Oryctolagus cuniculus: one gene and its partners. Each later gene encodes a partner of the first gene's protein in a complex. Links are inferred from orthologs where the notes say so. Each region holds a gene or a part of one and is shown in the gene's direction. Other genes may lie near its edges. The genes, in order: SUPT16H, MCM2 and SSRP1.

Region 1 (10,379 bases):
TTGAGAAAAAATATTTATTTGAAAGGCAGAGTGAGACAGAGATCTTTAGTCCACTAGCTTACTCCCCAAACAACCACATATCAGCCAAATCTGTGCTAGGCTAAAACCAGGAACCTAGAACTCCATCCTGGTCTCACACGTGGGTGGCACGGCCCTAAGTGCTTGGAGCATCATCCACTCCTTTCCCAGATGCATTGGCAGGGAGCTGGATCAGAAACAGAGCAGCTGGGTCTCAAATTGGCACGATGATATGGGATTACAGCATCGCAAATAGTGCTTGACCTGTTGTGCCACAATGCCAGCCTCTGAGTTTTTTTTTTAAAGATTTATTTATTGGTTTGAAAGAGTTAGAGAGCTCTTCCATCTGCTAGTTTACTCCTCAGATGGCTGCAACAGCCTGACTAAAGCCAGAAGCTTCTTCCAGGTCTCCCACATAGACAACAAGGGCCCAAGCACACAAGCCATCTTCTGCTGCTTTTCCCAGACCATTAGCAGGGAGCTGGATGGGAAATGGAGCAGCCAGGTCTCAAATCAGTGCCCATATGGAATGCAAGCCTTGCAGGCAGTGTCTTTACCCACTGTGCCCCCTAAACCCGATTTTTAAAAATGAAATCAAATTATGAGAAAGCTGGTAAAATAATATCTGAAGTATTGAGCCTTATTAAAATTAATTTCTGAATCATTCTTTGTGAAATTAGTGTTGATTTTTAAGTGTTTTATAGATAGAAATGTTTATTCTTTCTTGATCCCCTTCCTAGCCAACCTTATGGTTTCTTAAATTAGTATGTGAAAAGCACAGCAGAATTTTGCCCCTGTGATGAGTTGCCATGCTAATACTGAGACACCAGGACGGGAGTTTTACCCTGCACTGGGTGTTATTGAAGTAAACTATACTTCTCGTCAATCTACCTGAGGGGCACTAGGTCCAAAAATGAGGTCTTTGGTAAGGAAGATGTGTGTTAAGTGTGTTAGGAGGTGTGTATTTCTCATTTCTCCCCTTTAATGATGGCCTGCCTTCTCACCATCATTGAGCCAGAGAATGACCCTTAGTCCAAATCCCCCAAAGTTTAATCTTTACTTTTAAAAGTTTGTGCCATATGATGTCTTGGGTGGGTGGGTTGTCTTCCTAGGAGGAAGGATTAAAGTTAACATTCCAGAAGCACAAGTTGATGGCTAATGGAGTAATAGGAGATGGACATCCACTCTTTCATAAGAAGAAGGGGAACAGAAAGAAGTTAGTGGAGGTAAGTGATAATCTTTAACATGATGACTAGATAAGGTGTTAACATTCCCAGTAATTGCTGAAGGCAGTTGGGATTAAGGGACTAGAAGATATTAGAATTACATCATGACTGCCATTGGCTCTGTTCCCCTTCCTTCCCTGCCCCAAAGAAGAGTATGTGCTCATGGGGGTGGATTCTGGGTTTGCAGCTGGAGGTGGAGTGCATGGAAGAGCCTAATCACCTTGATGTGGACCTGGAGACCCGGATCCCTGTCATCAATAAGGTGGATGGTACTTTGCTGGTGGGTGAGGATGCCCCTCGCCGGGCTGAACTGGAGATGTGGTTACAGGGTCATCCAGAGTTTGCTGTTGATCCCCGATTTCTAGCGGTGAGTGGCAGTTCCATCCAGCAAGATTTACAGTAATTCCCTTGGTATTGAAGCTGTGTGTTAAAGGGAAAGCATGCCATATTATATCATTGTTTTTGTATCTGCAAGATAAGAGTAATAATACCCAGTCTACCTCACAAAATAGTTATGAGTATTAAAGTGAAAGGATGTTAAAGCACTTATTAAACTAAATGCTAGCTAAATATCTACTATTAAATTATTATATGAACCACCTAATTTGGGGGAGGGGGAGAGATTCATTTAATGGCAGTTTTCCACTAGGATCAATCCTTTATCTGTGTAATAAAACATTTATTGTCAAACAAAAGACACTAATACTTTGATAGTTACTTCAGAGAATATTTTAGTTCCTCTGGAATAATCCATTGTTTTCTATTCCAGTATATGGAGGATCGCAGAAAACAGAAGTGGCAGAGATGTAAAAAAAATAATAAAGCTGACTTGAACTGTTTGGGAATGGAACCAATACAGACAGCTAACTCTAGGAATGGCAAAAAGGTGAGATGAGCGTTGCCATTCTGTCCGATGGTATCTGCAGTATTACAAAGCTAGAGTAGGTAATCTCTTAAAAGTTTCAAAATTCTGAAGGGGCTTCAGAAAGTGGATGGAGAAGTAGATTAAAAGATAATGTGAATTTTCCATAATTGTTTGATATATTTCAGAAGTGACATGGGGGCCCTCCTAAGGAAAACATGGGGTCTCCCAATATACAACATTAGAAGCCACTAAAATATCAGTAATGGAAAAAGCACAGGAAACCATGTTTTATAATCATAATGAGAATTTTGGTCATTGGGTCATTCAGAATTCCCAGATTTAGTTATGCTTTTATCATGGTTATAGACCACTTGGTATAGTAAGAATCCATAGTTTTTCTTTCCACTAAAATATTACTGCAAACTTTTCTTTTGGCTAAAATGACCTTACTCTGTGCAGCAGTTACATTTTTAATGCATATATGTATAGATCATGCTTTGGTTTGCTGGCAGTTATCTAGATGAACATGTATCTTTGTACTTGATTTAACCATTCTCCATTTGATTTTTATATAATCTATTAACACCACATGGTGGATCTTTTAACAGAATTAATTTCAAATTAATAATGTTTTATATTGCAGAAATTCTAAAATCAGCACATAATAGATTTTTGAGGCTTATCATTTTTATATAGGTAAAAATATTACTGTGGTAGGATGTTTTAATTTTCACTGTTAGCCACCATGAGACCAAGAGTATAATACGTATAATGTTTGATATTGGAAAGGCTGGGGGCTGGAAGACTGATGCCATCTTTGTCTTAACTGTATAGAACAATCTATAAAAAAGATTTTTCCTCCAGTATTGCCTATTTTTATCCCAAGTATTTTTGCAACTCCCTTACAAGGTCAGTTGACAACCTTAAGAAAGGCTAAATCACAGGAAGTCACAGCACATAATATGACTTGACCAGTACAGAATTCTTAGTGCAGAATTGACAGTGAATCTAGCATTGTTATTACCAAGACCTGTAGAGTTCAAGCGTTATTACAGTTTATTTAAAAAATCCATAGAAACTAATATTATGATGTTTGTTTTATAAAGGTATGCTCCCTTATTAGATGTTAGGCTTAGCTTGGGAAACAGTGCAGAGAGGTACCAGTTGCTATAAGCATTTAATCCCAGTTAACCCCATGTTGTGCTAAGGCAAGTAACAAAGCAGAGGCACTAAAAGTAATAATTTCCAACTTCAGTGAACTTAATCAGTATCTGTAGTCAGAACCATCCAGAAGAAGCCATTTAAAATTCAGCAGATATATGAATATGGTGAGGAGCTACCTATTATTTTAGTGTTCTAGGTATGTAGAAGTCTCCTTATGACTGTCTTGAATTTATCCTCTGAGGTGTAATACTAGAGAGTAATACTGTAAATATCAATATAGTCATGCTGTACTTCATGTATTAAGATCATGAGAGTAACCTGCTTCAATAGACACTTAAGTGTGCATGTGCTGACTCATTCACTGCCTTACCTATACCCCTTATTAACAAAAGTTGCACATTTGAAATGGTTGGCTGGAGTAAAGGTATAATATAGTCCCTGGGGGGAAAAAGCAATAATCTCTGGTTCACATATCAGTATCAAATCCTTAATCTTAGCTTCAGCATCATAGTTTCCACCAGCTGAGTCCAGCATTTATTTCCTGTTCCCCATTACCACTAGACAAGCCTAGTGCCATAATACTTGTTTTACCTCGTTTATGACAGATTCAGTAAAAAAAAAATTGTGAGCTAGGACTCCGCTGGCATCTTTATCTTCTCCTCTCTCTCCTGCCCCTTCTTTCTTTTTACTGTCTTCTGTTTTTTTTTCTCTCAGGGTCACCATGCTGAAACTGTGTTCAACCGGGTTTTGCCAGGGCCTATTGCACCAGAGAGCAGCAAGAAGCGGGCCCGCAGGACGCGACCAGACCTTTCTAAGATGATGGCCCTGATGCAGGGAGGAGGCACTGGGTCCTTATCTCTACATAACACCTTCCAACACAGCAGTGGTGGCCTACAGTCTGTGTCATCTCTGGGTCACAGCAGTGCCACTTCTGCATCTTTGCCTTTTATGCCATTTGTGATGGGTGGTGCAGCATCATCCCCTCATGTAGACTCCAGCACCATGCTTCATCACCACCACCACCACCCCCACCCCCACCATCACCACCATCACCATCCAGGCTTGAGAGCCACTGGCTACCCCTCTTCACCAGCGACTACCACCTCTGGTACTGCCTTGCGGTTGCCATCACTGCAACCTGAGGAGGATGACGACGACGAGGATGAGGAAGATGATGATGATTTATCTCAGGGCTATGATAGCTCAGAAAGGGACTTCTCACTCATTGATGACCCTATGATGCCAGCCAACTCAGACTCCAGTGAAGATGCTGATGACTGAAGCCTCAGCATGGTCCCCATTGCTTGGGTGGCTGCTGTATTTTCATTTACTCTGGCCCTTGGACTATGAAGAAATGGGAGGGGCAGGGGAGATGTGGGGAAACCCAGGACTCCAGGAGGTGGAAAGGGAAAAAAATCAAAACAAAAAAAAAAAACCTGTACCTGATTGCTCCCAATTTTGAGAGGATCGGGTGGGCAGGGGAACTCCTAAAATAATACATGACCACTTCCTCGTTGCTGGGGAAGGAAAGGAGACTAGAGCTGCTGGTGCGCTCACCCCTCCCTAGACACCTCCATTAACCACAGACTATGTAGCGCTGGCCCTCGCCTCTGGCAGAGCCTGTTCCTGGCCGAACTGTGGATACAGCTGGAGGGTCAGGAACTGTTACCTTCCTTCCCCTTGGCATTAATAAATTTAAGTTAATCCTTTTCCACTCTTCCCTTGTTCTATATTTGCTCAGGATGAGTACTGACTTTGAGATGATGTTCATGGTGGGTAACTTCAACACCACTTCCCTGAAGTTAGCACTGTTCATACTAAATTACCTTGGACCGAACACTTCATGCCATATGTAAATGCAAATGCCCAGCTTGCTAAACACAAGGGAATGATTTAAGGTGAAAGGTAAAATGTTTCAAACTTCCGAGTTCGTTCTTAGGAAAAGGAGAACCAAGAATCTGTCAAGAATCTCGTACATTCTCTCCCTACTGCACTGAAATAGTGGTGCTTTGGGGGAAGCTGTGGAATGGTGCCGCTTCTCATGAGCCGCAGTGAGGGGCACTAACTGAAACGATGCTCCCACGACGTGGGCTCGGGGTTATAAGAAAAAACCATGAAGGTTTGTGGAGCCCTCAAGCCATCTCTGTTAACCTCCCACCTTTCTACGATCCCACCGCTCAGATAAACCCTGGGCACTTTATTTTCCTTTCTGTGGCCAAGTGCTCTCCCTTCGCACGCGTTGTAATCTGTCGCGAGGCTGGGCGCCTCAGCCCTCTCGGAGGAGCGCTGGACCTAGCGTCCTAGCCCCGAGGAGCTTCCCTGCCCTAAAGCAGTGCTTCCTCACCATTTCTGGCAGAGGCGCGTAGCCGGTGGCACGGTCGTCTTCCCTCTCCTATCTCACGCTAGATCCCGCTCTTTCCGCTTCCCCCGCCTTTGCCGATGGGGTGGGGCCGTCACGGCCCCGCGCGGCAGCTCCTGCGAGGCGGGGCGCGCACGTCAGATCTCGCGCCGCTTCTGCCTCGCCGGGCGGCTGCGGCTTCCACCAAGCAGGCGCTCCGGGAGCTCGCGGCGGGGTGAGAGTAAGGGCGGGGGCAAAGCGTCACGTGATGACGTCCATGGCGTGCGCTCTGGCGAAGTTGACCAGAAACCCCGCGAAAATCGACTCCTTTCGCCTTGCACATTTTGGTGATTTTCCCCAGTCTTTTTCTTTCTCTCCTCCTATCCCGACTCTCTGGAGAGAGAATTTAAAAAACAAAACAATAAAACAAACACTCAGGACCCGGAAGCGGAAAGGGCATCTTTGAGGTCGATACTTCCGGGTCACTGGGAGAGTGCGGGATTCCGGGGCCGAGAGCGGTTGGCGGAGCCGGGACCTCGCGTGATTCTCGAAACCCGAGGAGAAGCGGTGTCCGGGGCTATGGCTGTAACTCTGGACAAAGACGCTTATTATCGGCGGGTGAAGAGACTGTACAGCAATTGGCGGGTAAGAAAAGTCCCGTGATTTTCCCTAGGGAGCCCCCCTCAACCATCCCATAATAACCCTGTTTCTCGGCGCCCTTTTTTCCCTTTCGTTCAGGAATTCCCAGGCTCAGTGTCGCGCCCTTTTCGTTGCCCTGAATCATGCCCCGCAGGCGCCTGCGAGTGCTGCAGGGTACCAGGGTATCCCCCGCAGTCGCCCTGCCCTGCGGCCACCACCATCTTCCCCGCGTGCCAGCCCCGGTCATGCATAACCGCCTCCTCTCGCCGTCGCTTCCCGCCCTAGACGAGGCAACATCCTTCCCTCCCGCCCTGCGATCACGTCTCGGTGCCCCCACCTGCGATTTTGCACGCACCCACGCACTCGCTCTGTCCCTCCAGAGCCACGGTTTTCCGCCCCTGGTCCCGCCAGAATTACAACCGTGTTCGTGAAGGAGGGGTGGAGGGGCACGGAGGATGTGCATCTGACTCTTCGTGTTCATCGTTTGCGGGGCTTCTGCTGGAGTTAAAAAAAGAAATAACTGCTCACGCGCAACTGCTTCGTGTTCTAGGCCCTGCCGTTGGTAACAGAAATCTAACGCTGAAAACCTGCAGGCATTAGTAATAGAAAAACAACGCTGTGAAGCCCAAACCTAATTACTAGTTTTCTTTCTTGGTAGTGTATCCGAGGCACGTGTTAAGTAAAAGCTGTGGCCGTCCCTGGTCTTGTAAAGACTGGGCAATGTTGCTGCTTTTAAAACGTCCACAGTTAAAAGTTATTTTTATGATGTTTATTAATTGAACGTGTGATTGCATTCTGTGGCTCAACCTAAGCTGTCCAGCTTGCGTCTTACCTTTGAACCCTATCGTCAAGGGAAGGAATATTGCCTTATATTAGACCTGAAAAACGTCTTTGACAAACGTGATCAATTCTGATTCCAACATTGTAGATTATCTTAACAGTTAAACCTTTACTAAAAGGCGGCTGTGAAAATGGGTTATTTCCCTGCCATTCATACTAGAAATTTGAGTGCATGTTTTATCTTCTGAAGATAAATGCATTAGATAATTGAAAATGGGTTTACTGCTGTATTTTATGAAAAGCAGAAGAACTCTATGCTAGACAAATGCTGAATGTAAATTATGTTTTTAAAATTTCTTATTAGCTAGCAGATTTTGCAACTTCTCACAATTTTATAACTCAAAGTTGTCTGTTTGAAAAGCTTTGTAAAGTCTCAATATTTTCTAATGAATAAGTACTTGTGTATGGTAATAATTAGAAGCCCTCTTCCACCTATGAGCCCTGGAATTAACACCTTTGATGTGGGAATTGGTTCAAGTGCTAGTAATTCAGAATTCCTCAAATTATTTCCTTTTTGGGTTATTGCAAATATTAGTTAAAATTTTCATAGCTTATGACCTGAAAACAATTGCAGTATCACATATTTGAACTGAATAGAAACATCAAAAATGTTAAGCCTATGTCTGAATAAATAATTCCATCTTTTAGTATCATGGGGGCCTGGTTCCAGGACCTCTTCACAAGTACTAAAAATCTAATAGTCTTCAGTCCATTATATAAAATATGGTAGTATTTGCATATAACCCATGAACATTGTCCTGTGTGATTTAAGTTGTCTCCAGAATACTTATAATACTTATCACAGCAGAATAGTCTGTAAATAGTTGTTATTCTGTATTGTTTAGGGAATGATAACCAAAAAGTCCATTTTCAGTACAGAAGCAGTTTTCTTTCCCTCAGATATTTTCAATGCATGGTTTGTTAAACCCCTGGATATGATACCCTGTACAGAGAGCTGACATTTTAAAGATGAGAAAATATGTTTGGTCAAAATCAAATAGGAGACCTACATAACAACTACTGTTTGTGACTTTTGTTGGACCTTTGCATCTCATCCAGTACAGTCTTTGCTTCTTCTATGTTAGAGCTGCTAACAACAGAATAGTTTTTATGGAACCTATCCATTTCTGCTTAGAAAATCCCAGATGGTAGTGGTGGATCATGGAAGAGGGTTGTGGGTTTCCTGTCCAGTTGAACTTGTTCAGGGATTCCCAGCCTTTATTTTGATAATTTTTAACCAAGTAGTGGGATTAGTACTGTTCTCTGTGGAACACAAAACAGATTACCTACCCTTCTGAGACTCCACTTGCTTTGAAGGGTAAGAGTATGGTACTCAGGCATACCTATTAATCCTTTGAGACTTACCCTTTAGGACCTTCTGCTCTGAACGAATGAATCTTCATGAAGAATTACCAGAAATGTCAGAATAGCAGCTGTTTTCAAAAGGAATGTTGATCTAGTGCATTCATTCGTGCCGTTCTATGTCAGTTCCCAGGTTTGGGGTAGTGAGTGACTGTGACCTCAAAAAGATTTGTGCCAGTGAAGAAACAGTAAGCTGAGCTTAGAGTCGGTGCTTCTCTCGAGTGCTGTCCTCTAGCTCTTAGCTGGTTTGTCTGGTGGTGCGGTTTCTTGCTCTGGGCAGTTTTCTAAGACTAGGCAACTATCTTCTGTGACTCAGGATTATTTTTTTAATATAGACAATTCCTGTATTACTTTTAGAAAGTCAATGGTTGTCCTCCAGCAAGATGATGGATTATGTCCACCCATCTCAGTTCTTTACAGCTCCTTTATCTTTAGAATAGAAGCAAGAAACCTTTAAGTAATGTTATGGTTTCTTGAATAAAGAGGGCTCTTTAGATGGAAGTAAATGCCAAGTCGGGGATATTTTTATTCCTGCTCACCTAACTTTTGTAGTGTAATTACATACTTTTTCTTTTTTTTTAAGTTTTTTTTTTTTTTGAGAGATAGAGCCACAGAGAGATCTTCCATCTGCTGGTTCACTCCCCAAATGGCCACAATGGCCAGATCTGAGTGAATCCGAAGCCAGGAGCCAGGAACTTCTTCCAGGGACCATCTTCTACTGCTTTCCCAGGCCATAGCAGAGAACTGGATCGGAAGAGGAGTATCCAGGACTCAAGCCAATGCCCATATGGGATGCCAACACTGCAGGCAGAGGCTTACCCCACAGTCCCACAACACCGGCCTCAATACTTTACTTTTTTTTTTTTTTTTTTTTTAAGATTTTATTTATTTGAAAGGCTGAGTCACAGAGAGAGAGAGAAGAGAGCAAGAGAAAGAGATCTTCCACCAGCTGGTTCACTCCTCAAATGGCGGCAATGGCCAAGGCTGGGCCAGACCAACGCCAGGAGCTTATCCCATTCTCCCACATGGATACAGAGTCCCTAGGCACTTGGGCCATCTTCCACCACTTTCCCAGTCACATTAGCAGGGAGCTGGATCAGAAGTGGAGCACCCAGTACACAAACAGATGCCCATATGGGATGCCAGCACTGCAGGCCAGCCCCTAATTACATACTTATTATGTTTCGTTTTTATCCCTTTTACTGACTCGTTCCTGGCATAGGAACTATGAGAAACTGTGATAATTGATTTCTGCACTTTGGCATATCTCTTTCTGGCGCTAATTAATGTGACCATTGTCGCTCCCCCTCTTCGTGGAGGAACAACACTAAGCCCTGCCTAGGCTTCATATCCGAGTCACGGCACCATTATGTCGCTCCCCCTCTTCGTGGAGGAACGACACAGGACCCTGCGCTGTTCTTTCGTCTGCTCGGCCCTCCCCGGGTTTGCTGCTGGTTCTTCCCGGGTTGGCTACTATCCCTTCCACCTCCGTGGAAGGGCAGTTCCCCCTGGCCACATTCCCCACTTCCGCAGGGGAGCGGCACACCGCCGGCCGGCTCTCTCGGGGGCTGCACAGGTGTTCCCTCAGATGTTCCCCTTAGATGTTCCTGGTGCATGCCATCTCTCTCCTCCTTTATAGTCCTCCTCTGCCAATCCCAACTCGGCTGCCCACACGCCGAGTACGCTGCTCTCCTCCAATCAGGAGCAAGCCCCACAGTTTATTGGTTGAACTGGAGGCAGCTGTGCAGAAGCTGTTTACTTCTCTCCCAGCGCCATATTGTGGGAGAGCAGATGCATAGAATAAGTCTTAATTCCAGTAACTCAGTCCAGTCCGGACTGCTCCCCACAACCATAAGTCATTTATTGTTAGAATTATCTCAGGTTTGTTTTTTTGTTTGTTTGTTTGTTTGTTTTAGATTTATTTTAT
Region 2 (9,671 bases), on another chromosome or scaffold:
GTTCCTCTGGCAACGCTGACTAGGGCCATGCGGCAGGGCATGTGCCTTCCAGCGTGTTCTGTACCCCCTCTGGAGTTCTGTCCAGCCTGGTGAGCTCTGTTTTGAGACTCAGGTTGCCTTCTGGGGGGCATTGAATTTTGAGGGCCCTGGGCACTGATGGGGTCAAGTATTAAGGAGGTACGTGGCACACTGGACACAGATGTAACAGGAGAGGCACACGGCGTGCAGCCAGACTTCCTGTGGATTTTGGCCTAATCCTTCGTACGACCAGATAAGCCGCCCTCGTCTGTAAGTGGGGGGTGAGAGGACCTACTAGAGTTGTTAAAAGACCACGCAAGGGGCAGGCGTTGTGGTGCGATGGGTTAAGCTGCCACTTGGGACACCCATACCCTGTCTTGGAGTTCCTGGTTTGAAGCCCCAGCTGCTCCACTTCCCATCCTCTGCTAAGGCGTCCTGGGAAGCAGCGGATGATGGTTCGAGAACTTGCGCCCTTGCCGCTCTTCTGGGAGTCCTAGATGGAGTTCTGGGCTCCTCGTTTCAGTCTGGCCCACACAGAAGGAAAGAGCTAGACTGAATCAGTATTTGTGAAGTCCCTGTCCATGGGTAACTGCAACACTGTGACTCCTTGGCGCATTCGAGATTAGATTCTGTGCCACTCACCTGCTGTTCAGTGAGCCCGTCCGTCTCCTGGCTGACCGGGTCAGTGGCAGAGGGCACACGGGCAGTGTGGGCATTCGCGTGTTTGCTCTGCTGGCGCCCGGGAAGGCCTGCCTGGCACCGCCGCGGTGTGTACAGGATCGGCCTGGGCTTGGGGACTCTGCCCCGCATGGGAAGCAGGATGCCTGCCGCCCTTGGGACTGAGGGAGACGTTACCTCATCCTGCAGGGTTGCCCACTGCCAAAACGACAGCGGGCGGTGTCCAGGGGAGAGAGGTCAAGGCTTGGAGTCTTAGCCCGCCCAGCAGGGGTGCAGGCATGTGAGGAGGCTGTCTGCCCAGTGGTCTCCGCACAGTGAGCGTCTAACAAGAGAACTCTGTACTCGGTATTTGCCTGGAACGGTCGAGGTGATTTCCACGTAGTGCCAAACGCTGGAGGTGTCCTCTGGGCCCGTTTTGCTGACGAATACACTGAGGCACAAGGGGTTAAATAAGGATTTCCACCTTGGCAGTCGGGGAGCCCGTGCTCCCTGGACTCTCACGTGGCTGCTTCATCCGGTCACCACAGCTCGTTTTATTTGGTTACGAGGAGGTCCCTGGGGCACTCCATAACGCAAGGCTTAGTTCACACTGCAGAGCTGGCTGTCAGAAAACTTCATATGCGTGTGGAATGGTGTCATGAATTCGTCTGTCTAGTCCATTTTGTGCTGCTATAGCAGTGCCACAGACTGGGTGATTTTTTCGAGAGGCAGAGGGGGGGGACAGCATCCATGTGCTGGGTCAGTCTCCCTGCCCGCCCCGTGCCTGCAGTGGCTAAGGCCAGGAGTCAGGAAGTCAGTCCAGTCCACAGGAGTGGCAGGAACCCAGCTGCCTGAGCCGCCACCTGCTGCCTCCCAGGGTCTGCGGCAGCACAGAGCTGGAGCCAGGAGCCAGGGCCAGGAGTGGGACCTTGGGACTCCAGTGTGGGGCAGAGGCAGCTTGGCCACGAGGCCTAACCCAACCACGATGCGGTTATCACACTCGAGAAACAGTGAATGATTGGGACTGTGTTAGATGTCTCTGAATGTCTGACCTTTAAAAATCGGTGTGGGGGCTGGCCTTGTGACGCAGCGGGTTAAGCCGCAGCTCGCAGCCCTGGCGTCCAGTCCTGGCTCTTCTGCTTCCAGTCCACCTTGCTGCCCGTGGGCCTGGAGGCAGCGGATGATGCCCACGTGCTTGGGCTCCTGCCACCACGGGAGATACCTGGCTCCTGTCTGCAGCTGGTCCACCCTGGCTCTTGCAGCTGTCGGGGGAGTGACTGTGGACATAGGATTTCTCTCTCTCTCTCCTCTGTGCCCACCTCCTATTCCCCCCAGCACTCTGCCTTTCACATACATAAATCCTTAAAACGTTTGTTAGATGTTAGTGGCTTCTTGGAGCCAGCTTCCAAAAAGGGCCCACGGTGATGACTGATTTCTAAAGCTCATCTCTGAATCTCGTCATCTTCAGGCCGCTGCTTCTCCCTACTCCCCTTCAGTTGTTTGGGAGACACTGGGTGGTCTCCCCTGCTGAGTCTCCCAGAGTCCAGATGTTGCTGACCTGTGCTGGCTGAACACAGGCCCCGGTCACCTGTGCGTCAGTAAACTGGCGTCAGTTAGAGAAGCTGAGTCAGACTCTGTTTGGTTTTCATTCTTTCTGTGTGGGGGCCCTGGCTCTCACGGGCGGACTTCCTTCTGATGGGAGTGGCCACCAGGGACGGGGCGATCCTTGGCCAGGGCCACTGGGTCACGAGGAGTTGCCAGAGGAGGCTCACTTGCCGGGAATCCTTGGCAAGGAGGAGCGTCTTTGTGAGCTGTGTTTAACACCAGGTCGAGCCCCAGGAGGAAGCGCAGGACGAGTGCTCGCTCGTTCCTCTTTGATTTGCCAGTTTGCAGAATGGCGAGTTGGTTCTGCAGCGTCCTACGACGTGAGTGGCGCGTCCTTACTGAGTGGCGCTGTGGTCTGTCTTGTGGTTGCCATCTTCACTGAGCTCAGAGTGGCCCGTTTTTGTCGTGTTGGATTCGAAGAGTCCTGCTGACCCCACCCTGGTTGTCTTTGAGCTGCCTCTCTGGGTTTCTGGCAGAAGATACCGTAGGCTGCTCTTGTACCTTTCCCGCTCAGACCCGGTGTCGGCCACTTCTCCGAGGAGTGGGAAGTCTTCAGTGGGACGCGGTGTTCAGGAACGTCTGACTTGGCAGGTGGGGTGGGCCTCCTCTTCCACCGTCACTGCCGGTTTTCTTCTTCGGTGCCCTCCTCCCCGGGGCCCTGGTGCCGTCTGAGCTCCTCCTTGCTTTGTCCTGGAAGGAGGGAAGTGTGGGGATTCCGTGCTGCTCCTGCTGGCCGGGATGGGGGTGGGGAGGTGGCACCGAAGGTCAAGGTTCAGCTCTGCAGCTCCTCCAAGCAAGAACTTTGATGCCTCTAATTCTGTCTTTAAAACTCACGCAGATTTGCGTTCTCTCTCCTGCACACACCCTCGAGAGCTGTTGCAGTGAGTTGGCAGTCTCAGCCTCTGGTGGACACAGCTCCCAGATGTGCAGTCTTGGTCATTGACCGTGGCCCAGCCATGAGCCAGGCACTTGCCTGTCTCTCTGCCACGTGATGACACAGGCTGGGGCGGGGCAGCGTGGTGAAGACCCCCCGCCCCCGTGTCTGTTATGGGCTGACTTCCGCCACATGGTGCCCTGCTCTCAGATGCGGCTCTCGCCTCATCTCCACTCTTGATCTGTGGTCTTGGGAAATTACTTCCTGGCGTAAGAGAGTAAAGGGGTCTTTGAGTCATGGGTCTGTGGTTGTCTGGTAGAACTGATGGGAAGGCCCCGCGTCGGGGCAGGGCCTGGTGGGCCGGGTGCCTGAGAGCTGGGGCCAGAGCGAGCACTCACATCGGTGTCCCTCCCTGTTCTCAGATCTTTGCCAGTATAGCGCCTTCCATCTATGGCCATGAAGACATCAAGAGAGGCCTGGCCTTGGCTTTGTTTGGAGGGGAGCCCAAAAACCCAGGTGAGTGGCTCGGGCACTACCCCTTCCTCTCCAGGGCGCTAGCGGCTTTTGCTCCGCCAGTGTCTTGGGGAGCCAGCACTGTGGTAACAGGCAAGGCCACGTGGGCGCTGGGTGGAGAGAGTGGGTCAGGCTGTGTGTGTGACCCGCTCACCAGGAGGGAGGACAGCCCCTGGCCACTGCTCCTCAGGCTGCTGGGGGATCCAACTCCACGGCTGCCTGCCCTTGTGCTTGGAACAAATTAGTCTTTGCTTCTCTCTTAGGTTTAAGCTTTAGCTACAACCGTAGCATAGAAATCTTTATTTTACATTTTGATAAAAGATGAGCACACACTGCCCTTTTTTTCTTTTTGATAGATTTATTTATTTGAAAGCATTACAGAGAGAGGTAGAGACAGAGAGGTCTTTCACCTGCTGGTTCACTCCCTAGTTGGCCCATATGGGATGCCGGCACTGAAGGCTGAGGCTTTAGCCCGCTGCACCACACCGCCTACCCTAGACTGCTGTTTCTCGCCCCGGGTCCCTCCCTGCCGTAGGTCACTCCCAGTCAGGTTGCTGTGTGTGCTCCAGGCCCTTGTGGCAATGTTAACCGATGTGTGCAGTGAACAAGGGGCTTCCTGACATACGTGCGCATTGATATTTGCAAACGCAGGCTTCCCTGTGCGTGTGCCCCGTGCCCTGCCCACCCCGACACACCCAGCTGACCTCCCCCCTGCAGCCTGCAGAGCAGGCTCATTCTTGAGTCTCCGTGTCCTGGTCCGTATAGCATGGTTTGTTTAGTTCCGGTTGAGTCTCCGTGTCCTGGTCCGTATAGCATGGTTTCTTTAGTTCCGGTTGAGTCTCCGTGTCCTGGTCCGTATAGCATGGTTTCTTTAGTTCCGGTTGTACATTTGAATCACTCACTGCTGTGCACACTCACATTCACAAAGGATGCCTTGTGCAGGCTGCGTCCCCGGACGTGTTCCTCAGGGTTAAATGCTCAGAACGGAAAGACTGCTGGTGGGGGCCGCCCCTCCCTGTCAGGGGGCTGCGCCTTTGCCATTGCTAATAAGCAGGTTGAGGGGTGGATGGGGTGCACCCATCTTGCCCCCCACCCGCCCCGTGCCTCTTCCAGGTGGCAAGCACAAGGTGCGGGGGGACATCAACGTGCTTCTGTGTGGAGACCCTGGCACGGCGAAGTCTCAGTTCCTGAAATACGTTGAGAAGGTGTCCAGCCGGGCCATCTTCACCACCGGCCAGGGCGCGTCAGCTGTGGGCCTCACAGCCTATGTGCAGCGGCACCCCGTCAGCAGGGAGTGGACCTTAGAGGCCGGGGCGCTGGTTCTGGCCGACCGAGGAGTGTGTCTCATCGATGAGTTTGACAAGGTGGGTCCCTGGGTGGCGTGGGCCTCGGCACTCGGCTTGGGCCCGCCTGAGACCGGCGGTGGGGGCTGGGCCTTGCTAACGGTTGGGCCCTCGACTGGCAGATGAACGACCAGGACAGAACCAGCATCCACGAGGCCATGGAGCAGCAGAGTATCTCCATCTCCAAGGCCGGCATCGTCACCTCCCTGCAGGCCCGCTGCACCGTCATCGCCGCCGCCAACCCCATAGGTACCCCGCGGGGCAGCTGCTGGGCTTGGGGCCTGCCGTGGGGCACTGGGCAGCATGGGGTCCCTTCCGCGCGTCTTATTGGAGAGGGCAGGAGGTCAGAGTGGAGGCACGGGTGTTTTTGTAGAGCCCGCGTCTTGGACCCACCGTGGCTGTCCCCGGGAGGGGGCATCGTCTTAGCTGGGGCAGAGCTGGGTCTGAGCTTGTTAGACTTGCTCTTCAGGCTGTTTCAAGCATTGCTTGTGGAAAGAGCACTTTGCCTGATGGACAGTAGGTGCTGCGTGGCCATTCCGTGTCCTCCTTCCCTCCGACGCCCTCGTCCGCTCCCCCTCTGATGGAGGCTGGGGGCACTCGCTGTGATGCAGGGTACCCTGTGTTTCAGGAGGACGCTATGACCCCTCACTGACCTTCTCTGAGAACGTGGACCTCACGGAGCCCATCATTTCCCGCTTTGACGTCCTGTGCGTGGTGAGGGACACGGTGGACCCGGTCCAGGTACAGCCGCCTCTTCTGGGGTTCTGGGGCCCTCGTGTGAGGCTTAGGGCCGTGCAGTGTGCCTGGTGCAGGGAAATGGGCACTGCGCGGGCGTGGCCTGCTGTCCAGTGTTGTTCTCTCGGTCTTGTGTCATGTCCAAAAGTCCTGACTTCTCTTTCTTCCACCGGCCGCTCCCTGGCTGCCCTCCCAGCCTAATCCTCAACCTTGCAGTGAGTCTCTGCCCTTAGGCCTGAGAGTGTAAGTTGCTTATCGGCCAGCTTGTGGCTTTCCACTGAGATGAGAAGCCGTGGCCGTCCCTCTCCTGCCGGACCCTGTGAAATCTGGGCTGTCGCCGGCCGGTGGCGCACTGCCCGCACTGCTCCCTGCCTCTGCTTGCACCCGCCTGCTTCCTCTCCTTCCTGTCTTTCTTCCCGGCACATGAAGCTCTCTGTCCTGGAAGTTTGGAACTCCTCGCCTCCTCCCAGCTGTGTGACATCTCCCAGCGGGCACCCGAATCTGCACCGAGAGGGTGTGACGCGTGCATTGGTGAGAGGCCGTCGCTCTGCTCGCACACGCCACTCGGGCTGACCCCCCCCCCCTTCCTCCCCACCGTAGGATGAGATGCTGGCGCGCTTTGTGGTCGGCAGCCACGTCAGACACCACCCCAGCAACAAGGAGGACGGGCTGGCCAACGGCAGCGCCGCGGAGCCTGCCCTGCCCAACACGTACGGCGTGGAGCCGCTGCCGCAGGAGGTCCTCAAGAAGTACATCATCTATGCCAAGGAGAAGGTCCACCCCAAGCTCAATCAGATGGACCAGGACAAGGTGGCCAAGATGTACAGCGACCTGCGGAAGGAGTCCATGGTGAGGGGTGGCCTGTGTGCTCAGTCCCCAGAGCACGGGGCAGGAAGGCAGTGCAGAAAGCGGCACGTCTCTGTGGTCTTGGTCTCTTTTACGCCATTTTCTGTAACAGTACCCGCGACTGGGAGCTTGGGAAACAGAGGCTCTGGGACCTGCTGGTGGTGATAGCGGGTGGAAGGAAGGGTGAGAGGTCACTTAGCGGGAGGGGAGCGGAGAGCCGGCTGCCGAAGCCTTGCAGGAACCTGCTGGCCCCTGCGTTGATCCCTCCTGCCGGCTCACTGGTCTACCAAAGGCACCCCTTCCCAGTATTACGCCAAACCATGGCATACGCCTGCCTCGTGGTAGGGCCAAGGTCTTTGGATTGACCAACCGTCATCCTAAGTCAGCCACAAGACTCTGACCTTCTCTGGTTAAATTCCACATCGGCTTTGCGTAAATCTCACCCAGATCAACGTGAGATCTGAGCTCCAGGTTTCATTTTAGTTCATAATGAATGGAGCAGGAATTCTTTTATTTCCCTTATTCCTTTCATTCTAAATTTTTGTTTATTTACTACTTTATTTTATTTGAAAGGTAGAGAGCCACACAGAGCTCCTCCGTCTACTGGTTTACTTCCCAGATGTCCATACCACTGGGGCTGGACCAGGCCAAAGCCAGGAGCCCAGAACTCAGTCCAGGTCTCCCGCCTGGGTGGCGGGGCCCCATGCACTTGAACCATCACCTGCTGCCTCCCATGGTGCCCATTTACAGGAAATTGGAATTAGAAGTGGAGCCAGGACTTGAATGCTGTCACTCTGACATGGGGCGTGGGTGTCCCAAGTGGTGTCTGAAGCACTGTGCCAGATGTCCACCCTGGGAGGAAGAATTTCAGGGCAGCTCGTAAGCAGCTGGGATGCAGAATCCTCGTGGGTGGCTCTTCCTGCCCACACCTACTCAAGGCAGCCATGTTTTTTTGTTGTTGTTTTTGCCCTTTAGTTTTACCATGTCTTTCAGAGCATTCAACTCAGTTTTCGTAGAAACTACTTTTTTTCTCAGTGACATTTCACTGGGTTATGTGGTATTTGGTATGTGACAGTAGATTTTACAGCTGGCCACAGATAAGACCAGCTCTGAGCTGTGTTGAGGTCGGATGGGGGAGCAACCCCTTGCAGATGTGAGCGGCCAACATGCACTGCACACCTTCATGTTTTAAGAAAGACCCAGAAGGGGCTGGCGCTGTGGCATAGCGGGTAAAGCCATTGCCTGTAGCACCAGCATCCCATACGGTTACCGGGTTGAGTCCTGGTTGTTCCACTTCTGATCCAGCTCTGCTGTGGTCTGGGAAAGCAGTAGAAGGTGACCCAAGTCCTTGGGCCCCTGCACCTGTGTGGGAGACCCAGAAGAAGCTCCTGGCTTCAGATTGGCCGTTGCGGCCGTTAGGGGAGTGAACCAGCGGAAGGAAGATTTCTCTGTCTCTCTCTTTCTTTGCCTCTGCCTTTCAAATAAATAAATAAATCTTTTAAAAAATTCAGACAGACAGAGCTGGGAGCATGAGTTGGCCTGGCGCCTTCGCTCTGTGAGATAAGCCTGCCTGGTTCTGGCTGCCCAGAGTGCCCCCTCTGCCTGTCCTGCCTCTCCTCCCCCCCTGAGAGACCCGACGCCGTCCTCCCCCGCAGGCGACGGGCAGCATCCCCATCACGGTGAGGCACATCGAGTCCATGATCCGCATGGCCGAGGCCCACGCGCGCATCCACCTGCGGGACTACGTGATCGAGGACGACGTGAACATGGCCATCCGCGTGATGCTGGAGAGCTTCATCGACACGCAGAAGTTCAGCGTCATGCGCAGCATGCGGAAGGTGGGCGTGGAGGGGGCGTGGCCGCGGGCCAGCTCGGCCCGGGAGGCCGCGGGTGGCCGGCGCCCTGGCTGCCCGGCGGCGGCCTGACCTGGCGCTGTGAGGCGTGGGGAGCGGCGCTTGACTGTGCTGTCTCCCGCAGACTTTCGCTCGCTATCTGTCGTTCCGGCGGGATAACAACGAGCTGCTGCTCTTCATATTGAAGCAGCTGGTGGCAGAGCAGGTGACTTACCAGCGGAACCGCTTCGGGGCCCAGCAGGACACTATCGAGGTGCCCGAGAAGGACTTGGTGGACAAGGTATGCGCATGGGTGGGAGGTGGGGGTCGGGCTGTGCTGCTTTGGGAGCTGTTAGTGACATCTTGGGGTCGTTGAGCGGACCGGCCTCTGATGATAGCCGTTTGTTGAGTTTTCACAATTCCACGTGTGTGGCAGCTTGATCTTGTCTCATTTCCTAGAGGCAGAGAAAGGCACAGGGCCACCAAGGAACTTGTCCAAGTTCCACGGCAGCGGTGGAGCTAAGATTGGAAGCCTGGCTCCCGGCTCCGGCCCCGTGGTCGCTGCCCCTCCGGGTTCCCCTGCTCTGGGGACACGGCCCGGCTCACTCCGCGTTTGCTCTTCGCAGGCTCGGCAGATCAACATCCACAACCTGTCCGCCTTCTACGACAGTGAGCTCTTCAGGATGAACAAGTTCAGCCATGACCTGAAGCGAAAGATGATCCTGCAGCAGTTCTGAGGCCCGGGGGTTCTGGGCCTGGGGAGTCGGGCCAGGCGCTCAGTTTTACGGACTTTAGCCGAAGCCACTGGCGCTCAGAGGGTGCTGAGGCCACGGTGTGCAGCCCTGGTCTCCTGGGCTCAGGTCGTGTCTCGGAGGGAGGGTATTTATTTCTTTGGCTTCGCTTCCTGCTTCTCTCACCTTCTGGGTGGGCAGACTGCCAGCGTGTTAGAAGCTCAGTAGGCCGCGCCCACACCAGTGTTGTCTGTATATAGCACCTTGCACCACCAGAGTGCGCTTTAGGGGAATGACCGTCCCTGCACTGATGTCGGGAGAGCTGTGCCTTTCACCTTGGGTTTTGTGTCCACACTTGATTCTGCCGCCTTTGGCCACAGAGCAGTGTAGACGTCTCTGTTCTTTTTCACAGCTCTGTCCCGCGGTAGGGGAGCACCGCCCACCAGCGCGTGCCTGCGGGGCACCTGTGTGCTGCGGGCGTGGTGGGGCTTACATCCCCTGGCTGGGGCACTTGAGG
Region 3 (10,159 bases), on another chromosome or scaffold:
TTTAGGAACACTACCTTTCTCCTCTGCAGACACTCTCCCCTTGAGTGGTTATCTGTGCCACCTCAGGGGGCAGCTTCCATCTTTGTCCTAGCCTCCAAGAACAAGGGTTTCTCCCCTTTCCAAGCCCTCTCACCGTCTCCCCATGCCAGGAGGGGAGTTCCTCGTCCCAACGCAGAGCGGTTCTCCCTCCCTCTCACCCACCATGAATCCCATCAACCGACCAATCCTTACCATCTCCCCTGTTTCCAGGCCTCCCCCAGGCTCCCTCGCCTTTTTGAGACCCCAAAGAGCTGATTGAGGGGACTGGGAGGATGTGGGGAGGGGCTGGCTGTTCTCTGGTGGGGGGGTGGCTGGAAGAGAGAGAGAAAGTAGAGGAGAGGGGCCACCTGGGATTGCTCCCGGTGGAGGGCAGTGCCAGGCCAAAGACCCCACTCCTTGGAGTGTGGATCTAGAAGTCATTCTCCAACTCTGGAGGACTTACTGGGGAAAAGTATTCACCTGGGGGCCAGATCCCAGTGCGTGGGGCTGACGCTAGTCTGTAGGAAGTGGCTGCACAGTGCAAAATGTTTCCCCCAAAAGGCAAAGCCCGTAAACCTGAAGAGCAGCCCTGTGGGATGGAGGGAGGGCAGGACACCAGGACAGGGTCACAGACTCACCCCACGAAGTAGGAGATGATCAGAAGCTGCACGGCTCGGTTGATGATCCCGATGGTCCAGCTCTTCACAACCACCGACTTGGTGGTCTCATAGGTGAAGAAGTCTGATACACAGTTCATGCTGCCAGAGAGCTCAGGGGCCCCTGGGAAGGGGCCCAATGGCAGCTCAGGAAAGACAGGTCCTCGGGGCCAGGAAGCCTGGAGCAGGTAGCTCAGAGGGGCTCCAGGAATGGGAAACCTGTTCCTTTAAGCCAGACAACCCCAGCCCAGTGCCCAGGCTCTCTCTGCTCTTGACACTCTGGCTGCCAAGAGTCCAGGGCCAGGGCGGGGGACCCCCTTTTTATTTGTCTCCACCCCACTCTCCTGTGATGTCACGGCAGGGGTGGGGTCTCCAAGCCTGGGCTCCTGATTGCCTGGGATGCAGCTGGCTAGGGCCCTCTGGGACTCGTGTTTTATCTGCACTCTGTCTATCGCTTCTGTTCCGATCTCTTCTGTTGCATCCTCATCCCAGCTCACCAGCTGCTGTGAGCTCTCCCTAAAGCCCCTTGCAAATGCCCCATCCCCCAGCCACCTAATAATCCGCCTGAACTGGGTAGCCCCTTTCATCTGTGAGTGCCTGTCTCGTTCCACCCAATTCTGCAGCCACCCCCTCCCTCCCTGAGTTGCCTCCAACAGCATGAGTTGGGGGGGAGGGTGTGTCTTCAATATTTTCCTGGATCTCTTGGGAGGGAGTAAATAGCATAGAGTCACATATTTTTAAACTGCAGTTGATCACAGCTAAAGCTCTACCTGTAGCATAGCAGTTATATATACATATATATATAAAACTTATACAGCAGTTATATATACATATACATACATATATATATATATATATATATATATATATATAGCAGTTATATGGATATACACACTCTCAGGTCATTTGTTGGATTATGCTTCCCTGGAAGGCTGGAGTTGTTTTCAGCTTGTTCACTGAAATCCTAGAAGTGTGTTGGATTAATTACAGCCCCCGGTACACTGAATTTATATTCAGATAATGTTAGAATAGCCACTACCCAGAGGTTAAAAGCCATGATTTTGGGGTGGTGGTGGGGGCAACGGTGTGTTGTCTCTTATCCCAGGACTGAGTTAGCAAGCTGGTGTAACCAGCGTCAGGGAAATCTTGAGTTTAAATATCCCGTGTAACGAATGCTTTTCTGCAGGACACATGGGCTCAGTGGCTCGGGACGTAAAACCACTGTGGTTACAGCAGAAGAGAACGGGACCGGAGTCCGAGGCGGCTTCCTGTCTCCACCTGGGTGGCCGACTCCCAGAGCCGCTGGGCAACTGCTCTCCGCAGGAGGCTGGAGGAGATAAACTCCAAACCTCTCTCCCAGCTCAGGCCGGCTCTGATTTTGCAAGGTGCACCTCTTCCAAGATGAGCTCATGTGGTTTCCAATCAGTTCTGGCTCTAAGGTGAACCCGACACCAGCGCTCGAACTCGATCCTGCCATTTGCCAGTCACTACCAGCGCCACTGCGGTTACAGAGGTGCAGAATTTGGGTGTAGACGGTGAACTCATTTCAGAAAGGATCAATCCCACTTAGCAGGGGGCAGCCGGCCAGCAGGCCTGCCACAAAGGACACGAACGCCCGCACGCGTTTCTCTCCGCAACTCTGAGGTATTTTTCTTCGTGTTCCACAGCTTCCTTTCTACCCCTAGAAATTAACCCCTACAGAAATTAACCCCCCAACCTCCGAAATCTGACAAAAATAAAGCCACGGTACACGATTTCCCTTTAGGATCCAGTCTCCGCTTGACGTGTCCGCAACGTTCTAAGAAGCCCGATGAGCCTTCATTTTCTAGTCAGTCGGACTTCACCGCTACCGCCCCGGCCTCGGGTCCTCCAGCGTCGCCGTCGCTCTAGGCGACTGTCTCTGCGGCGGGCCTGGTTGGCGTCTCTCTAGCCAGCTCATCCTCTCGATGGTCAGTGCGCGGCTTCCGGTGGCGGGACGCGGGGCCGCGCACGCGGGAAAAGCTTCCCCAGCTAACTCCCGTTCCCCGCGTCCCCGCCCCCCTCCCCCGCATCCCCCGAAGCGCCCACCGCCCGCGCCCGGCCCGTCGCGAGGCTGCAGCTTGAGGAGGTGGGTGGTCGTCGTCCCTGGGCCCCGCTCCCCCGCGGGACGCTCCGAATGGGCCGTTCCGCGTTCGAATCTGCAGGCAGCGGGCGAATCCATTTTAGCAGGAGGGGAGAACCATGAGGGCCAGGATGGAACCTAGCGCTCTGAGCTGGGTTGGGGCGCGGGAGATGTGCACGCTGCGGGCAGGCCTTGGGGTTCCGCTGCTCGTTACCATGGCTCCCGGTGTGGCGCGCAGAGAGGGTGTTGGCTTGGGGTGGTTCTGCGGGCCTGGGATTACCGGGGCTGACCCCCGGAGCACGGCACAGCCGGCCTGTTGGTTCCCGGGCAGAGGAGAGTCTGTGAACCCCCAGGGGCGGCCACCTGGCTCCATCCGTGAGCAGAGCGCGGCGCTGCGTTTCATGACTCTCTCTTGAATTCAGATTCCCAACCTGCTGACCATCTGCACACTCACCCAGGACTTGGGGCCCAGCGCCCAGTGTATTCGGTTTCCCTTGTGAGGCCTAGGGCTCTGCCCAGGCCACCAGGGGCAGGTCAACATGGCAGAGACACTGGAGTTCAACGATGTCTATCAGGAGGTGAAAGGCTCCATGGTGAGAAGGGCTTGCGTTTTTAATAGAGATGGAAGGAGGGAGCGAGCTAAAGTTGATGTACATGAACGAGAGCTTGTCCTGGTGACGTTTCTACTGGGAAAAGGAAGTCTCTGTATAACGTGCACCTGGTGTTTCCCCCCAATAAAAGGCAATTCTGAAAAGTCGCGAGAGTTGTAGGATCTCAGGGTGTGAAGGGACCGTATTTGCTATTCTGTGTTTCAAACGAGGAGACTGATGGCCTGCGCAGGTTCTGGATGCCCGAGCCAGGTGCAGAACCGAGACTTCCTGGACACTTGTGTCTCTTTACTGGTCCTCGCTTCAGCTGTTGCTCCTGCCCTGATCACCTGGCAGTCAAAGTGAATGCTGGGTAGAGCTGCACCCAGGACACGGTCTGTACTGTCCCCGTGCATCTGGGCTCACTTTCCCAACAGAATGACGGTCGGCTGAGGTTGAGTCGCCAGGGAATTATCTTCAAGAATAGCAAGACGGGCAAAGTAGACAACATCCAGGCTGGGGAGTTGACGGAGGGCATCTGGCGCCGGGTGGCTCTCGGCCACGGACTTAAACTGCTCACGAAGAATGGCCACGTCTACAAGTATGACGGCTTCCGAGAATCGGTGAGACGCCCTGTTGCCGTGAGCCCCCTTTTTACCGTGCCATCCTGTCTGCTTTTAGTCTTCTAGAGGGAGTTGAGGTTCCCTCTGGTAGCCCCCGTGGTGCTGGTTTGGCTCCCTGGGCAGGGCCATTGAGGCCATTGAGCAATCAGTGGGTCAGCTCTGAGTGTTCTAGAGCGTTCACAGCTTTTCTGTGTTTTGGTTCCAGAAGATCTGCTTCCTACTGTTCTGGTTTAAATCGTGCTTTCTGCTTGTTTGCTCGTATCCAGGTTCAGAATCTTAGCTGGATGCTTTAGTTCAGGCTTTGCTTTTCCCTCTTAAACTGTTCTGAGTGAAAGACTTAACTTTAATGTCCACTTCTATTAAAACAATGAACACACAAAGTTTAGGAAGTCAGATAACATGGTGAGGTCCAGAAACAGGAATGCCAGTCCCTCTCTTTACTCCTCCCCTAGTCTGAGGTCCAGCTCCCAGGAGCAGCCTCTCTCCACAACCTTTTAAACCATTTCAGAGCTGAGCTGCTGAGTCAGCATGGACTTTTTTTTTTTTTTTTTTAAGACTTATTTATGTATTTGAAAGGGAGAGTTACAGAGAGAGAGAGAGAGAGAGAGATCTTCCATCCACTGGTTCACTCCCCAAATGGCTGCAAAGGCCAGGGCTGTACCAGGCTGAAGCCAGGAGCCAGAAGCTTCTTCTGGGTCTCCCATGTGAGTGCAGGGGTCCAGGGGCTTCGGCCATCTTCTGCTTTCCCAGGCGCCTTAGCAGGGAGCCGGTTCAGAAGTGGAGCAGCTGGGACTTGAAGCAATACCTTTATGGGGTGCTGACACTGCAGGCTGTGCCACAGCACCAGCTCCCTGCATGGATTTTTTGGTAGAAGTCCTATTGGGGCAATTTTTTGGATATAGGTAATGTCAGGACATTCGTGTCGGTTAAGGCCACTGGAGCTGACTGTGGTTGCACTTTCTCCCTTCCACTCATAGGAGTTTGAGAAACTCTCTGATTTCTTCAAAACTCACTATCGCCTTGAGCTAATGGAGAAGGACCTGTGTGTGAAGGGCTGGAACTGGGGGACGGTGAAGTTTGGAGGTGAGTCTTGGGGAGCAGGTAGGATCAAGGGCTGCAGCCTTTCTTATTCTCTTCCTCTGCCACAGTCTCCGGTTTCCTGTCGGGTGGGTTGCTCAATGCACCTGTGGTGTGTCAGGCTTTGTGCCTGGTCTCGGGGTGCAGCGTGAACAAACAGCCCCGGCACCCCGCCCTTACGGAACTCCAGGTTCGGTGGGCTTCTTGTCGATGCAGACGTGGGGGGAGCCTGAGGCTTGAGCAGCCCTCTTCTCACAGGGCAGCTGCTTTCCTTTGACATTGGTGACCAGCCGGTCTTCGAGATACCCCTCAGCAACGTGTCCCAGTGCACCACAGGCAAGAACGAGGTGACGCTGGAATTCCACCAGAACGACGACGCGGAGGTGTCCCTCATGGAGGTCCGCTTCTACGTGCCTCCCACCCAGGAGGACGGCGTGGATCCCGTGGAGGTGAGGCCTCCCCAGGCGCCCCGGTGCAGACGGGGCTGAGCAGGCCATGGGCTGGCCTGCTGCCGGGTTAACAGTGTGTGCTTCGGCAGGCCTTTGCCCAGAACGTGCTGTCCAAGGCGGACGTCATCCAGGCCACTGGAGACGCCATCTGCATCTTCCGGGAGCTGCAGTGCCTGACTCCCCGTGGTCGTTACGACATCCGGATCTACCCCACCTTTCTGCACCTGCACGGCAAGACCTTTGACTACAAGATCCCCTATACCACGGTACTGCGTCTCTTCCTGCTGCCCCACAAGGATCAGCGCCAGATGTTCTTTGTGGTGAGCAGAGCCCCTGGGGGCGGAGGATCCCGATTTTTGTCTGAGGACTTTCTTTTTTTTTTTTTTTTTTTTTTTTTTTTTTGACAGGCAGAGTGGACAGTGAGAGAGAGAGACAGAGAGAAAGGTCTTCCTTTTGCCGTTGGTTCACCCTCCAATGGCCGCCGCGGCTGGCGCGCTGCGGCCGGCGCACCGCGCTGATCCGATGGCAGGAGCCAGGAGCCAGGTGCTTTTCCTGGTCTCCCATGGGGTGCAGGGCCCAAGCACCTGGGCCATCCTCCACTGCACTCCCTGGCCACAGCAGAGGGCTGGCCTGGAAGAGGGGCAACCGGGACAGAATCCGGCGCCCCGACCGGGACTAGAACCCGGTGTGCCGGCGCCGCTAGGCGGAGGATTAGCCTAGTGAGCCGCGGCGCCGGCCTGTCTGAGGACTTTGTGACTGGGTCTCACTGAGGTGCAGGTCTCACTATTGGTCCGTCAGAAGTCCTGGTGGAGCCCCGCCTGGTGCTTAACCTTGTCTGCTGTTCCTTATCAGATCAGCCTGGATCCTCCCATCAAGCAGGGCCAAACCCGTTACCACTTCTTGATCCTCCTGTTCTCCAAGGACGAGGACATCTCCTTGACTCTGAACATGAATGAGTGAGTGTCTCCCTGGACTCCCGTCCTGCCGCTGTGCAGGCAGGAGGCAGATGATGCTGGCAGAAGTCTCTAATGCCGGTGATGTGATCTTGCTCTGTTTGTAGGGAAGAGGTGGAGAAGCGCTTTGAGGGGCGGCTCACCAAGAACATGTCAGGATCCCTCTACGAGATGGTCAGCCGGGTCATGAAAGCACTGGTGAACCGCAAGATCACAGTGCCGGGCAATTTCCAAGGGTGAGCATGCGAGCCGGGTTCCCTGTCCAGGGAAGGGAAATGCTCCCTCTCCGTGGCGGACCCCTTCGCAGATGGGATCGCGTGTCGTGACGGTGGTTGGTGTCTGTTGGAGCAGCCGAGTGAGACTGACCGGGCTGAGGCTTGGAGCTCACCTGTGTTGCAGCTGCCTGCTGGGCCCTTTGGCTTTGCTGAGGTTGGCATTGAGTCGGCCCCCTGCTCCTTCCTTCAGGCACTCAGGGGCCCAGTGCATCACCTGTTCCTACAAGGCGAGCTCAGGACTGCTGTACCCGCTGGAGCGGGGCTTCATCTATGTCCACAAGCCCCCCGTGCACATCCGCTTTGATGAGATCTCCTTCGTCAACTTTGCTCGTGGCACCACCACCACGCGCTCCTTTGACTTCGAGATTGAGACCAAGCAGGGCACTCAGTACACCTTCAGTAGCATTGAGAGGTGAGAGCCTCCCCCAGTCACTGCCTGGGTGTCCCCCGTCCTGACCCAGCCTCCCCTGGGAAGCCTGGCCGGGCCTGGGGCCCTCTCTGGGCCCGTGACTCTTTCTTCTGCTTCTCTGAGGTTTGATCCTTCTCCTTGGAGTCCTCAGACTTTGGAAGCCTCTCTTGCTTTCTTTCTGTTCTTCAAAAGAAGGTTATTTTCCCTATGTGGAAGCCGCGTGCACTTGATTCCAGCCCTGATTCTCCTCCAGTCTGCCGGTGATGGAAACGCTGTGTCTTTCCTGGAGTGAGCTTCCTGTCTGAGAACACTGCCCCTGAGTGTAGAGTGTCCCCTGTGGGCTAAATGTTTTACCGAACGTCTTCGTGGTTAATCCTAGTAACAAGCTGGTGAAGCATGAAATACAGGCCAGGGAGTAGGTGCACGGCCCCCTGCCCGGACAGTCTGAGCCTGCAGTGTAGGTACCTGGTGAACAGGTAACCTCCGTCCGTCCTGACCTTCAAGAGCTCCTCCTTCAGGACTCAGCTGTGACTCTTCCTGGCTGCTGTCCTCTGAGGCTGCTCTCTGAGCTGTTGGGGTCGACGGTGTGGCTCAGCGCTCCAGGCCCACAGTCCACCCCAGCTTCTGGGTATCTGAGCATCGTTTAGTCTTGCCCTACTCAGCTGGTGACGTGGTGCCTCTCCCCTCACAGGGAGGAGTATGGGAAGCTGTTTGATTTTGTCAACGCAAAGAAGCTCAACATCAAAAACCGAGGCTTGAAAGAGGTATCTCTGTGTGGGAAGGCTGGGGCTCTCCTGGTCCCTTTTGTAGGAGAGAAAAGGGAGAGATTTTTTTTCTGGCTTCTTTTTTCACTCTCTTCTCTTCTTACCCTTGTAGAAAAAAGAGGTGCGTGTGACCCTTTCCCTTCCTGATGCAGGTTTCCTCTGCATGACCTTAGACTCAGCCTGTGCAGCCTCGCAAGAGCCCCCACTGTGGGGCTGGGAGTGGGAGGGGCTTGGGCTAACCCAGTTGCCAGGCAGTATATGGGCACAGGCCCTGCACCTTGGCTGTGTGTGGACAGGCTAGCCCCAGGGACTCCTGGGAGCTGCTTCTGATTTTACAGGCATGGGGGAGTGCTGTGAGTGTGCAGAGTCTGATTCAAGGGCAGATTGGGCCTCACTTGCATCTCTTCCCTGGACAGGGCATGAACCCCAGCTACGACGAATACGCAGACTCTGATGAAGATCAGCATGATGCCTACTTGGAGAGGATGAAGGAGGAGGGCAAGATCCGGGAAGAGAATGCCAACGACAGCAGCGATGACTCAGGAGAAGAGACTGGTGGGCCAGCCTCTGCTGGGGCATGGGGTGGTCGCTGGGTGCCAGGGTTAAGGGAGTGAGATTTCCGTTGGGGCAGAAGCTGATGAATCCTGTGTCTTTTTGCAGATGAGTCGTTCAACCCAGGTGAAGAGGAGGAAGATGTGGCAGAGGAGTGAGTTTTGGTTAAGATTTCTGGACGTTTCTCAGGTCCTGGCGTTAGCCACTGACCCAGAGTAGGAAAGTGACCTCCAGTGAGGTGATACATGAAAATGTTTCAGAATTGTCAGGGCTTTATAAGTAAGTGCAGGCATGTTTTGAAGCAGGAAAGGTACAGTGGGGGAGAGGACAGGAACGAGAACTGGTGCTTCCCTGTTTACTCTCTGGGTGTGCCTGGATAAGTCCTTGGCTGCAGCCTCCTCACCTGGAAATGGCAGTGGTAGCCTTCGGGCAGGACTTTGGATTGCCAGCGTTAGAAATGTGACTTGGACTTGGGGATTTGTCTAACTTCATGGAACTGGAGAGTCGGAATAGTAATTGGCTTCAGGCACTGTGGGATCTAGGAGCTCACAAGTTGTAGGGAGAATCTGAGTACTTAGTGTTTCTTCCTTAGTGCTAGATGGGTTTGCCCCGTGAGGTGCCACATGACTAGAAGCCCTGGGCAGGCTTAATCCTACTGGTGTAGCTCCCAGAGGTGCCTCTGCCTCCAGTCTGCTGCTTAGTGAGCAGGTGTGATCACTTGTCCCCTCAGCCTGAGTTAGGAGGTGTGCAGAGGGGGCCCGACCCAGGCCACGTGCCCACCCTTAGAGTGTGGCTGGTGGTGCCTGACAGAACATTGGGACTCTCAACCCGGAAGGGTGGGTCATGAATAGTGGGTAGCAGAAACCACCCAGCAGGGGCCTGCGAGCGCTGCATGCCGCATGCTTGTGAAGGGTAATGAGCAAGGCCCTGGGACGGTGCCTGGAAAACTTGCGCAGCTTGTGGGGTGAGGTGATTGCTGCTTTCTGAGGCTAGGACACGGATTGGATAGGACAGTTGGGTTGTGCTACATTGGGTTTCATTGCTTTTGGTAGTAACTGTTTTCATCAGAAACACAACACTGTAGGAAGTGGTGAGGTGGACTTGGAGCATGTTGTAGGCCAGAGCGAGACGGTGTCTCTGTCCCTGGGCACTGGGGATGGAGTAGGCCCTGGATCAGGCCATGATGGAGAGTAGTGGAAGCCCAGTGGTTCCTTGTTTCTTGTTGATGGACTGAAGAAGTAACCTGTGGTCATTCCCGTGGTCTGGAGAGGGGGTGGTTGAAGCCACCCTAGCACAGGGGAGGGAGCAGCACTGGGGCCTGGCAGGGGGGTGCTGTGGGGTCTGTGGTCTCCTCCTCCCCACCCCTTCGCCACTTTCTGGGCAGGCGACTTTGGATTTGTTTTCCACCTCTCCTTTCCTGAGTCTAAGCCCTACTCTCCACCAGGTTTGACAGCAACGCCTCTGCCAGCTCCTCCAGCAATGAGGGTGACAGCGACCGGGATGAGAAGAAGCGGAAGCAGCTCAAGAGGGCCAAGGTGGCCAAGGATCGTAAGAGCCGGAAGAAGCCTGTGGAGGTGACGGTTCCTCCGGACTGGAGGCTGGGGGGAGGGGCTGCTCCTTTCTGTAGCCAGTGATCATGGCCTTGTGGGATATCATCGGAAATGTTTGTCTCTGGTCCTGAGATAATGAGCTTCT

The links.
Region 2: the proteins of SUPT16H (region 1) and MCM2 are in contact, whole or in part, in a crystal structure (PDB 8YJF), measured with the Homo sapiens proteins. The link is inferred for Oryctolagus cuniculus from reciprocal best matches to the Homo sapiens genes SUPT16H and MCM2. Residues at the interface, in NP_009123.1 of Homo sapiens: Gln898, Ser899, Leu900, Asn901, Lys904; in NP_004517.2 of Homo sapiens: Ile73, Gly74, Asp75, Met77, Tyr81.
Region 3: SUPT16H (region 1) and SSRP1 share a complex: the UniProt entries of both Homo sapiens proteins name them as parts of the FACT complex. The link is inferred for Oryctolagus cuniculus from reciprocal best matches to the Homo sapiens genes SUPT16H and SSRP1.

The regions. Positions count from the first base shown.
Region 1 is NC_091443.1:53,547,862-53,558,240, forward strand, and holds the start of SUPT16H (FACT complex subunit SPT16), read left to right. Parts: upstream 1-5,474; 5' UTR 5,475-6,190; coding exon 6,191-6,256; intron 6,257-10,379. Other genes in the region: CHD8 (chromodomain-helicase-DNA-binding protein 8), read left to right, coding at 1,131-1,244, 1,432-1,611, 2,014-2,130, 3,988-4,554. UniProt on the Homo sapiens protein: Component of the FACT complex, a general chromatin factor that acts to reorganize nucleosomes. The FACT complex is involved in multiple processes that require DNA as a template such as mRNA elongation, DNA replication and DNA repair.
Region 2 is NC_091441.1:110,391,355-110,401,025, forward strand, and holds part of MCM2 (DNA replication licensing factor MCM2), read left to right. Parts: intron 1-3,576; coding exon 3,577-3,670; intron 3,671-4,780; coding exon 4,781-5,031; intron 5,032-5,132; coding exon 5,133-5,259; intron 5,260-5,638; coding exon 5,639-5,751; intron 5,752-6,345; coding exon 6,346-6,594; intron 6,595-8,246; coding exon 8,247-8,429; intron 8,430-8,568; coding exon 8,569-8,724; intron 8,725-9,049; coding exon 9,050-9,160; 3' UTR 9,161-9,671. UniProt on the Homo sapiens protein: Acts as a component of the MCM2-7 complex (MCM complex) which is the replicative helicase essential for 'once per cell cycle' DNA replication initiation and elongation in eukaryotic cells.
Region 3 is NC_091432.1:14,782,266-14,792,424, forward strand, and holds the start of SSRP1 (FACT complex subunit SSRP1), read left to right. Parts: upstream 1-3,226; 5' UTR 3,227-3,314; coding exon 3,315-3,368; intron 3,369-3,799; coding exon 3,800-3,985; intron 3,986-4,962; coding exon 4,963-5,068; intron 5,069-5,320; coding exon 5,321-5,511; intron 5,512-5,600; coding exon 5,601-5,831; intron 5,832-6,363; coding exon 6,364-6,467; intron 6,468-6,571; coding exon 6,572-6,700; intron 6,701-6,929; coding exon 6,930-7,151; intron 7,152-7,839; coding exon 7,840-7,912; intron 7,913-8,328; coding exon 8,329-8,467; intron 8,468-8,572; coding exon 8,573-8,618; intron 8,619-9,908; coding exon 9,909-10,038; intron 10,039-10,159. Other genes in the region: P2RX3 (P2X purinoceptor 3), read right to left, coding at 657-775. UniProt on the Homo sapiens protein: Component of the FACT complex, a general chromatin factor that acts to reorganize nucleosomes. The FACT complex is involved in multiple processes that require DNA as a template such as mRNA elongation, DNA replication and DNA repair.